Drosophila melanogaster: one gene and its partner. The protein of the gene in region 1 interacts with the protein of each later gene in a pairwise test. Each region holds a gene or a part of one and is shown on either strand. Other genes may lie near its edges.

Region 1 (5,646 bases):
TATAAACTTATTTCCACCACCTGACGACCGGCGTTATGCTCTCCTCAAGCGACAATCACAAACTGAATTGATGTAGAGCCGAAACGGGCGGGTGTGTGTGCATGTGTCTCGATTGAGTGATTGATTAGCCGACTGACCCGATGGGCATGTGCATGTGTGCGTGTGGAAATGCACAATAAATCATTTGATTCCCACATACTGCTTGAAAACAAAAACGTAGCTGAATCCGATTTTCTTATTGTATTAGTTTTAATTATATGGATTAAACAATGACTTACAGCTCCCCCGCAATTTAGGTGCACGTGTGTGCGGGAGAGGAAAGCAGCAAATATTCAGACTTTAACTAAGGGCAGACCTGCGCACTTACCCATCTTAGCCCCAATCAAGATTGTCGGCATAAGGAAATCATCAGCAAAGTATGAATTTATTTTAACTCGCTCTCCAAAATTTCACACTGATCAGGGAAAATTTTAAAATACACTCTGAATCAGGGAAATTCTCTCTTTAACAAGATAGAATTCAATGATTGACCTCTTTGTTCCGTTATTTTCATTTACATGCGCTTTGTCTCTTTCTCTCTTCTGGCTCGCCTGTGTGTGTGTGTGTGGGTGACCTCCCGCCCGGCAAAAAAAGAAGAAGAAGCCCAACTAAGGGCAGACATGCGCACTTCGAAAAAAAAACAATTAGCGCGTATATTTAGCCGACTTTTTGTTCTGGCGAGAATGTGTGGAAGGAAATGTAGCTGTTATAACATACAACACAGGTCAAAATAATAGGGTTACAGTCGGGAGCATAGTATAAAATAGTTCCAACAGACCAATTGACAATTGACATTAGCTCATTCATCACAATATTTTATAACCACATCAAATTTACTCACTAGAAACTTGGTTTGATTGCGTTTATTTGGTTCGAATACAAATTATGTTCACCTTAGATCTAATGATTGATTGCATCCGACCGATGTGCATCTTCTAGATGCATCAGTTTGCAAAGATTACACTCTTTGGCTGCAGCTATTCCTCCTCCTCTTCGTTCTCCTTCATGTGGCGCTCACTGTTTGGAGCATTCTACGGCACATTGTCATCCATTTCGCGCATCACTTCATCGGCTCGTGTGATCAGCTCAATCAGCCGGTAGTTCTCCTTGTACAGAGCAAACTCCTCGAGTAGCTTTAGGTACTTGCGTGCATCGGCGCAGCTGATGACACTGGACCCACTTTCTTGGCCGGATCCCCCATTGTTGTTATCGTCTTGGGCGGACTCATAGCGACGTTTGGTGCCCTGGCGAGGATTCAGCGAGTTTTCAACTGCCGCAGGCGAACTCACCTTTCGCTGCCGCATCTGCTCGATGTACTCCATCTCGTCCTCCACATTGGCCGCCAGAACCTCGGCCAGCGAGGTGACACTGGAGCGACCATTGTTCGCGTCTTCATCGAGATCCGCTGGGTCTTGGTCCAGTTCCGATTCCAGCTCAGCCTCTGGCTCCACTTTTATGTGCACTGTAGGCGGAATTTCAAGATCCTTTTCCCTTTGTGCTCGGTCATCGTTCTCCTGGAGCTCCGCCTCGGGCTGCTTCGCCAGGAGCTCTTCCGGGTCCTTGGGCTCCACTTTGATTTCCTTTTCCTGCTTGATCTCTAGTTTGGGCGGCGGTACCACCGGTCCTTTGTCCTGCTGCTGTGGGGCAGGAATCTTGGTGATGCTCTGAGCGAGCGTGGCTAGTGGTATGATGGTCATGGTCATGGGCTGTCCGCCCGCTTGCGTCGGAACAATGGGTGTGGCCAGGAGAACTTTTTGAGTGGTGCCTGGCGGTGTGTTAGCTTGGAGGGGCAGTCTAACTAGAGGCGGCAAGGGCTTCAGAGCCCTGGCAAAATTTAGTTCGCTTAGTGAGGGCTTGACATCAGGCTCCTCCTCCAGATCATCCTCGCCGCTAATACCGCCACCGTCGACATCCACCTCGTCATCCTCGTCTTCTACATAGCTGCGGGGATGGCTGCTCACCGGGCTGCCCAAGCTGACCTCTTCGTCATCCTCCTCGCCGTTCCGTGGCCCACTTTCCGGCATGCTTTCCGACATGACGTCCTTGACGATGTCCTTGATCTGCACCGAGTAGCCCTGCGTGTAGCCTATCTTCAACAGTCTGGTGTCGCTGTGTTGGATGCTGTAGGTGCGTCTGAACTTGTCGCACCACTCCTGGTGCGGAAAGAAATGTGCCAGGTTCATGGAGCTCTTGAACTGCAGCGCCATCTTCTGGATGAGTCCGTCGGAGATGCTGAAGTCCTTGTAGTACATCATGCGGCGTATCCAATCGTACACGGCCTTGCCCAACATCGAGACCCTGACGGTCTTCGTCTCCATGGTCTTGGCGTCCTGGCTCCTGCGGGTTCGCTGATCCCACGCGTTCAGAATCTCAGCGCGCTGCTGCACGATCCGCTTGATCTGATCTGGGCTGCAGTTGAACAGCCGGCCAACGTGCTTATAAACCGGCAGCCGATCGTATTCCCGCAGAGCAGCAACCTTTTCGTTGAGGGCCAGGACATTCTTGCGCTTGATGCGATTGTCGAAGGCCACCTTCTCGGCGGCCGGCAGGCTGGGGGTGTGCGTGCTAGTGGGTGTGGGTGATGCAGTCGAAGTGGGTGCTGCTGGTGGAGCAGGCGCAGGCGCAGGAGCTGGTGTGAGAACCTCCGTGTCAGTGGCCTAACGACGAAGGGAAAAAAAGTGCTGTTATTACCGGGTTTTATGGTAACAGTTGAAATCGTGCAAAGTAATGCCACCATGAATGTAGAGATACAGTGCTCCCTCTGAACATGAATAATGTAGACAAAACAACAGAAGGTCTTTGCATATTTAGTTATGTTAACAAAAGCAACAGTTAAGAAAGACGAAGTTTCAAGGAATACATGGGGCTTTTATACTCATACTCATTCAAGCTTATATACAAATAAACGCCTAGATCAAGTCATTTACACTCGTGTTCTTTGAGAAGTGAAATGGGGTGGAAACACTTTGCGAGGCTTGACTGTGGCCACTTACCTTCGCCTTGTTGTTGTTGTCCTGCGTCTTGGAGGCCTCCTTGTGCTCCTTTTTCTCCCTCTCCACGCGCTTCTCCACCCTCAGCTCCCTCTGCAACTTGCGTTTTTCGCGTATCCGCATTGTTTGTGCTTTCCGTGCAATTTACACGGCAATTGCCGTTTGTTTTCGTCTTGTTTGTTTTTGTTGCTGCTGCTGCGCCCACTCAATTTCGCCCACCCCTTGCACCCTTTCTGCTCTCTCACTCACACACCCGCCCGCCTGTGTGTGTGTGTCCGTGCGGCTGTGTGTGTGCGATGGCTACGATTATGCGCGTTGACTGTCAAGCGAATTCAAATCATTTCGTCACTGCTTTTCTCGCTTTTCTTTGGCCTTTCAATGCGCTTTGGCTCTATTCGCTTTCGTTTTCTCTTCCTAGGCACTCGATTTGTCTTCTGATTGTGATTTTCCAACTGGCCGTGCGCTGCACCTTGCGTATTTTCCGATGTCCGTGCGAACTAGACGACGACCCATACAAAAATAGCTGCCGCGTTATCTCGCGCAGTTTTCATTCTCTGCTCGCTCCCTCTCTCGCTCTCGCATGCGCAACGTGGGCAACTAGAACGGAAGGGAAGTCGGCGTGTGCGAGAGTGTGTGTGCGTGTGACCAGCTGAGAGGGTGCAACTGCGCATGCGACAACTTTACTGTTACTTTCGCCATGTGGCAACTCTGCAGGCGATCGCTTTTTAAGTAGAGTAAGATTAATGAGAACATACATATGTATGTATGTATTTTGTTTTCAGTTTAAGAATGAATTGATTTCACAAGATCTGCAACTAACTGCACTGTAAAATATAACTATAAAGTCTTTGCGAATTGTAATCAATATTTAATTTAAATTAATCGAACCACCACCAATTGGAAACCCACGAGTCCATACATTTCGAAAATAATCTTTATTTTAACGCTTTTCTCCGGCTAATTTGTTTAACCGAATTTGGTGAAGTGTCGCAGGATGTGCGACATGGCCGCGGGATTATCGGCAGGAACCATGTGACCAGCCCGGTTGACCCAAAACATGCTGAAGTTGCCATAGGTCTTCTCGTAACCCTCGAGAACTCGATCTACGGTGATTCCCACGCGCGGAGAGACCTGGTAAGATGGCTTGGCGGACCATTCCATTGCTTCGATCCAGTTGACGGCTCCCGGAGTGGCGCAAATCAGGTCCAGTCCTCCGGAGAACACGCCCACTTTTACGGTGGTGTTGTTCAGCAGTTCACCCACTAAAAGTGTCATAAGGCTATAATTTGAGGTAGCACCCAGACGGTTGAAACATACCAACATCCACAGCTGGCTTCATGAAATCGCCCATCAGCTTGGTGAAGGTGGTGCCGCTCTGGGCGCCCCATTTCACTCCGGTGTTGATTCCGAGGGCCTCGGTCACGGGTCCAAGCATTAGATCCTCCAGCAATTTGTCGCGGTCCTCATCCACATCGAATTTCACGAGGGTGCGATACATGACCTCTGGATAAGTGGTTGATGAGAATCAGCTCGGTAAGTTACGCAACGGATCTTACCCTCCGGAGTCATGGCAGCTCTGGACATCAACCTGTACTGATCACCCAATGTTGGGGTCTCCACGTTATAGAAGTCCACTCCCTTGGACTCGCGCAGCACCACTGACTGGGTGGAGCTCCACTGCAAAGTGGCCTGTGTCCACTTCTCGCGGTCAACATAGTCCTTAGTCTTCAGGGCCGAAGCTTCAATCTTGTCATGGCCATCCTGATCCACGATTCCCAACTGCAGCAGGAAGGGAGCCCACGAGAGCACAGAGTCTATGGGTGAGGTCCAGGGATCTCCCAAGGCCACCGAAACAAAGTTGCTCTCGATCTCACCGCGCTTGATGGCGTAATCCAACTCCAAAGCGAACTCCGGGGCCATCTTTCCGCCATAACTCTCGCAGAAGATGTGCAGCGGCACAGTCTTGAATTCCGGGTGGTTTGTGTAGAAGCCCTTCATCAGCTCAACGAGATCCAGGGCGATCTGCTTGTTGTTGGTCGTGTAGTAAGAAGATCCGTCCACGTAGCTGAAACCACTGCCCACGGGATTGTCGATGAACATCACGTTCATGTCCTTCACCCAAGTCCAGTCGCGGTAGCTGCCGTCGAGCTTCAGGGGACCCAACTCCTCAAAGTTTCCGTATCCCGTTGAGGAGGCACCTGGACCTCCTTGGAGCCAAATGGCCAGCGGACGCTCCGTGTAACTGGAGACATTGGCGGTGGTGTAGTACAGCCAGTAGAACATGTGGGCGCCAGTCCTGACATCCACAAATCCCCAATCCTGATCACCGGGTCCATAGCCCTTGCGTGCTGAGAGTATATTGAATTATAGCTCATTTCGATTAAATAGTTATTAATATACAAAGCTCTTTGATTTTGTAATTTCATGATAGCCCCTGATTTCTAGGGAACACTTGAGAAATCTAGCCTTTAAGTATATTAAACGGCTGCACGAGTAGCCATTTAGATAAGATTAATTGTTATAGATAGTGTAGATAGTTGATTGTATTGTCTTATAACAAACCGAATAGCGGTTGGTCACTGTATCTTTTACAATGGTAATAAGGTCTGTCCCCAAA
Region 2 (5,433 bases), on another chromosome or scaffold:
CATGGAGGACGAGACAGCTGACAGTGGATCGGGGGGACTGCCCGCCAACTTCTTGGAGACTATCAAACAAAACAAAGTGATCGAGAAACTATGGCAAAAGGCTCAACCACTGCAACCTGCTGTGGAAAATCTTGTGTCCCAGCAAGAGAATATCAAGGAGAAAGTGGAAAAATTAAGAGTATCATACTTGATTTGCCTCCAGAACCTATGCAATGTGCTGCCCCCTGAAGATTTGGGGGGCTGCAGCAACCTCTATAACATGTGGATGATCTTGGGTCAACAAGCATTTAGGGGAAGTGAAGATGTATCCGTTATGGAGGCCATTACGTCACTAATGCGCTCCTCGCTGAGTTTGCTCAAGTCTCGCAAGGATCTTTTCGGCCAGATGACCGAGAATGATCTCAACATGATTATCGAGGGCGCTAGCAAGTGCACAGATATAAATATTCGCGTTAACTGGAACCGCATGCTGGGTACGCTGGGTTCTCTGCTCTCAGAGCCCCTGGTTAAGGCAATAGTGCTCTTCCTATTGACTTACTGTGCCCAGGAAGATGACCTGTGGGCCCTGTCTGAAGGACTAGATGCACTAATGGACATTTTCGCAGTGGACGACTGGCCGCAGATCATCGCGGAGTTGGAGATGTGCGATCGTGTCCAGGCACTAGAGGAGTTGTTCAAGTCTAAACTGCGGCAGCAGCGACGGGAGCTAAAGGAGCGACGAGCCACAGTGCAAACAGTGAAGACTAATTTTTCACGCTTTGTTTTTTATCTTAATAAGAACTGTAAAAAATAAATTAACATGACCACTAATTAAAGCTATTGTCTAGTTTCAGAGAACAATACTTTTAGTTCTTAAGCATGCCAAAATATTTGTCGACGATAATAGAAACAGAAAAAATCTGTTAAATTTGTAACTTCCTAATTGTCATGTCTTTTGTATTTATTAATATTCGACTAACAAGTTTTCCACTTAAAAAAGCGTTAATAGATCGATTGATTCCATAGCTAAAATGTAAAGCATATTTAGTTTTCAAGTGCAGCAAGTGTTTGTCCATTCTAGTCCAAATCCTTTCATCTGTTAAATCAAGTCCTTCAAAGTTTGATCCCTGCTAAATTTTATTATTCTGGTACATTTTTACAACTTCGACTTAGTCTCAGGCGGGTTCTTCTCGAGAACATTCTTCATTTCGAAAAAGGATTGCTCGAGGGTCTTAACGAACTTCAAGTGATCCGTTATTGGGCAATGGCGCCAAGCGGATATGGCCAATATGATGTCATTATCCCGAGGATTATAGCAGCATGCATAACCATCGTCAGTCGCCGGGCCGTATCCCATGAAAGCATCGTATTTAGTGGCTACCTGTGAGGTGGACATGCGGAAGTGACTGGACTTAACAAAGCCCGGCGACTTGAAGAACTCGGGAATTGGCTTGCTGTGCTCCAGAGCCATCAGCTTCAGTCCAAGCAGGTGACGATCCACACCCTTTCCCTGAAGAGCCAGCTTAGCATACGTCTGATGAGACACTACTGCCTCACGAAGCTTGGCGGCGCGTTCCTGATCGGTAACGTTTGGGTCCTGCATAGCGCGGGAAAAGGCCAGGGATTCGTTGGAGCAAGAGCGTATAGTTTCGGTTCGTCCGCCGTCGAATATGCGCAAGTGCGCCGACTCATATTGCGCAGGTGGTTCCGAGTGCATTCTGCAAAACGTAAATGTATTCGGCTATATTGAAAATCTGTAGGAAGATCATCTAGTTACTTGTAGAAGGCGAGCTGCAGCGCCATCTGAACAAAGCTGTCCGGACCCAGACGCTGTTTCTTTATGAAATCCTTTCCAAAGCCGTTGAATTTCAGAACCTTCATTTGGAGAGCATCGGCAAGTTTATCCACGTTTTCCTGGGCGACGTTCAAAGATTTCTCTAGACTTTTATTGCTCGAAGAGAACTGTATTTTCTGTGCAGGAGCAAAGTCCTGTGAGCCAGATTGCCCGAAGCTAGGGTCTTCCTTCCTAAAATAATATAAATTATAAATATAAAGTTGTTTTTAACCACATGCGCCCTATTCAACTTACATCTTTTGCACCACGTAGTCCATCATCATCGCAATGGGCTGGCCCTCAGCCGGCGAGTGCTCATAAGTGAATCCGACGTTTCCATTGGGGTTTACCACCAGCTGAATAGTCTTGTCCATCCAACGGTTGCCGCTGTTTATCTTGCTGCCACTGCCATGGATCAGCGATAGGATAAGTTCGTCGGTCTCTTCGCCTTCCTTTAGGATAGTACCCTCATCGAGTGAGACGGTGAACAGAGCACCCTGAATGGTCTTGAGGGCATCCCGGTTGCCAGGAGTCTCAACCAGATATTCGTAGGCCTCCGCCCAATTGTCCCTGGAGTCGGTGGTCAGAATACCATAAGGAACTCCCACTTGCGTTTCCTTCAAGACGATATTCTCGAGTTGAGCAGCTAGACATGGTGCAGCAATGAGCTTTCCCTCCTTACTGTATATCTTCAGTTGGTAGAAGTGATTCTTGTAGATCACCACCACATAATCGGAGTCGGGATTGTACACGATCTCGTCGGTGCCCCTTCTGGGAATCCGACATGTGCCGAATACCTTGCCAAACTGGCTGTTGTCCAGCTCGTTCTTGCCCATTTTAACGATCGGAATTTTGTTGGCGTGCACCATGTCGTTGAATTCTCCCAGTCCATAGATAACCCTGGCGGTATAGTCCACGAAAGCACGTGAGTCCCTGAAGTTTTGCTTGGGAAAGGTCATGCCAGGACTCACGAACACGGTGACTGGATCTCGATAGGTCAAATAGGCAGCCTTCAGCCAGCGGTGGGCCAGCCAATTCTTCTCCTTGCTGCCGGTTTCTTCCAGGAGCAGCTGCAGTTCGCGTCCCTGCTTTTTTAAAAACTCGGAGGTGATTCCCTTTTGCCGTTGAAACTCCTCAGGCGTCAGGAGAGGTTCCACAGTGGTCATGAAGCGGTTCAGCGTTTCCTCCAGCGGCAGGACGTGGTACTTCAGCAGATTCGGCTGCTCCAAGGGAATGGTCTTCTGGACGGTGCTGTAGCTGCTAGCGGGCAGCACTTTCTTGGCGATCCCATTTGGAGACTGCTGGGCCAAGGAGTTCTTGGTCTGGAAATCGAATGGGATACAGATTACCGAACGGAGAATCACAAGCATTCCATATGGAGCACTACCAAATTCCACAAAAGCTTTCCATTGCCACGGAACTTCATCTCGGCTTCGGTTTTCTCGAGGATTCGCTCAGACGTTGGGCTGCAAAACGGAGAAATGGTATTCGAGTGTTACTTTAAAGTCCAACCACCGGTTGGTGTGCCTGTGGCACTGAATTAACCTTTGATATTTGTACATAATCTACTTCTAGCTATAAGGAGCGATAAACTAATGGCTCACGATTAGCAGCCAGCGGAGGAGGCAAGTGCAAGCAAAACGGCAGTTGCCAATCAACTGGCCATCGAAAGAGCAGTCCACGTAGGCAGAAGGGTGGGAGTGGAGTGGAGCCCAACTTAAATGCTATCAGCGACCGGTTTATTTACTTTCGCTCTCCCAAGAGTGCGTCTCTTAATATCCATACCATACCAGCGAAATACACGATGATTACCATCTAGATATATAACCACTTTTTATATAATCCTTAACTGGTTCGACTGTCCTTGCCCATCAGTTCAAATAAAGAATTTAAGTTTACCTCACTCTTGTTTTGCTCCGGTTAATTAACATCTATAGATTCTATATAAACATATATGTTTATATATGTTTGTATGTTCAAATCAAAACAAGAAACAGCTGTTGTCAAACAGCAACAAGTAAATAAGCACTCCCTGTTGTTGGTTTAACTGTGCTATCAATAATGGATAACAATCGATTAAAATCACAAGCAATTCCAAAACTTCTTTAAAGCTAATATTTAGAAAACAAGCAATACTATTAGTATGCAATATATGTTCATGATAAGCTAGCGTACGTTTTGTGAATAATATCGATGAATTCCCAGCTCTAGTATTCATAAAAAACTAGGGGGGTTCTTTGCAGAAAAATTACTTTAGTAAATTTTCGGCACGAATGATAATCTCAAAACGTTAATATTATTAAGTAGAATAACGTGAACTTTTAAGATTTCAATTTTTTTTTTTTGGAAATCCAAAATTAAGCTTTAAAAAACTTTGCCCAATAATTTGTTCCGGCTTTTTATGAGACGAACCAAACTATCAATATAATGTTTAATCTGCTAAAAATTCTACCATTGGTTTTGCTGTATCATTTGATCTTTGCAAATTGTGATTTCACAGTCCGAACCGTTTGATCTACGTTTTGAAAAACTAACGTTAATACGCCACGGTCTCTGGATGAAAAATGTTGGCCCTTGTCGTTTTTCTGATTGCCAGTTGTTTGACCATTCAAACGGCAGCCACTACGACACCAAGTCCAGCGGTCACCGAAGCTGGTCACCCATCTCCTGGAGGTTCGCAAGGTCAAGAGGAGCCAGGAAACAGCTCCTCAACGGAACTACCGGACTACTGCGATCCCTCCTTGTGCCACAAAGAACTCAAACATGTGGCTTGCAACGCATCAATCGTAAGTTACTAAACTAAAATGTGTGCCACGTGATAACAACCAACTAATTCAAATTAACAAAACAACATTTTTTGTTCGCATACACTATATAAGGTATAAATGGTTGAAAGAAAGCCAAATATAAATTAATTTAGGACTTTTTCAAATTTTCAATGTCATAAAATTTGTTGATAAAATTGATTAGTGACGAATATTAATTTCGAATTGATTGGCTTTTGAGAGGTATACCTTCGTTACAAAATGTCATACTAAAAGTTCTGGGTTATTTTTGTTTCCAAAATGCGTTACTATCCTAACTTGTTACCAATAATATCTTCAGGAACTGCACGACAAGTGCTCTCTGGACGCTGAGCTCATAGTGATAAGCCCAAAGGTGGAAAGATTCCTATTAAGGCGATTTAATGAGTTGAGGGATAGCGTGGCCAAAGGAGGGTTCAACGGACTGAGTCCTGCCAGTCGGATGGGCACCTTGAAGTGGAACCCGGAACTGGCCTACCTAGCTGAATTCAATGTGAGGGATTGTGTCCTGAGGCACGACGAGTGCCGGAACACGAAGTTCACGCAAAACGCTGGCCAGACGGTTGGGTATCGAGGCATTAAAGGAAAATTGCCAGAGTTGGAGGATATCCTTAGGGATATCATAGGGGTGTGGTTGCGGGAAAAATCCAGAACTTCGATGGTGAACATCATGAAGTATGTCGAGCAGGAATCTCAGTGAGTACCACTTAAGGAATATATAGGGTTGTTTACTCGGGCGTCCTTACGGGATTTGGTAAATATTTCAACCTGAAATGATTATTATTTATTTTTTAATATTTTGTAATCCTTTCTAAA

What was found.
Region 2: the proteins of ebd1 (region 1) and CRAT interact in a two-hybrid assay, tested with the Drosophila melanogaster proteins (one large-scale study listed by BioGRID).

The regions. Positions count from the first base shown.
Region 1 is NT_037436.4:681,996-687,641, forward strand, and holds ebd1 (earthbound 1), read right to left. Parts: upstream 3,555-5,646; 5' UTR 3,153-3,554; coding exon 3,033-3,152; intron 2,697-3,032; coding exon 1,071-2,696; 3' UTR 890-1,070; downstream 1-889. Other genes in the region: hiro (highroad), read right to left, coding at 3,996-4,291, 4,347-4,532, 4,586-5,377.
Region 2 is NT_033777.3:6,370,102-6,375,534, forward strand, and holds CRAT (carnitine O-Acetyl-Transferase), read right to left. Parts: upstream 3,925-5,433; 5' UTR 3,745-3,924; coding exon 3,713-3,744; intron 3,474-3,712; exon of another isoform or gene 3,376-3,473; coding exon of another isoform or gene 3,359-3,375; intron 3,280-3,358; coding exon 3,201-3,279; intron 3,136-3,200; coding exon 2,069-3,135; intron 2,006-2,068; coding exon 1,757-2,005; intron 1,698-1,756; coding exon 1,136-1,697; 3' UTR 925-1,135; downstream 1-924. Other genes in the region: CG10286 (uncharacterized protein), read left to right, coding at 1-793; CG42564 (uncharacterized protein), read left to right, coding at 4,378-4,599, 4,919-5,313.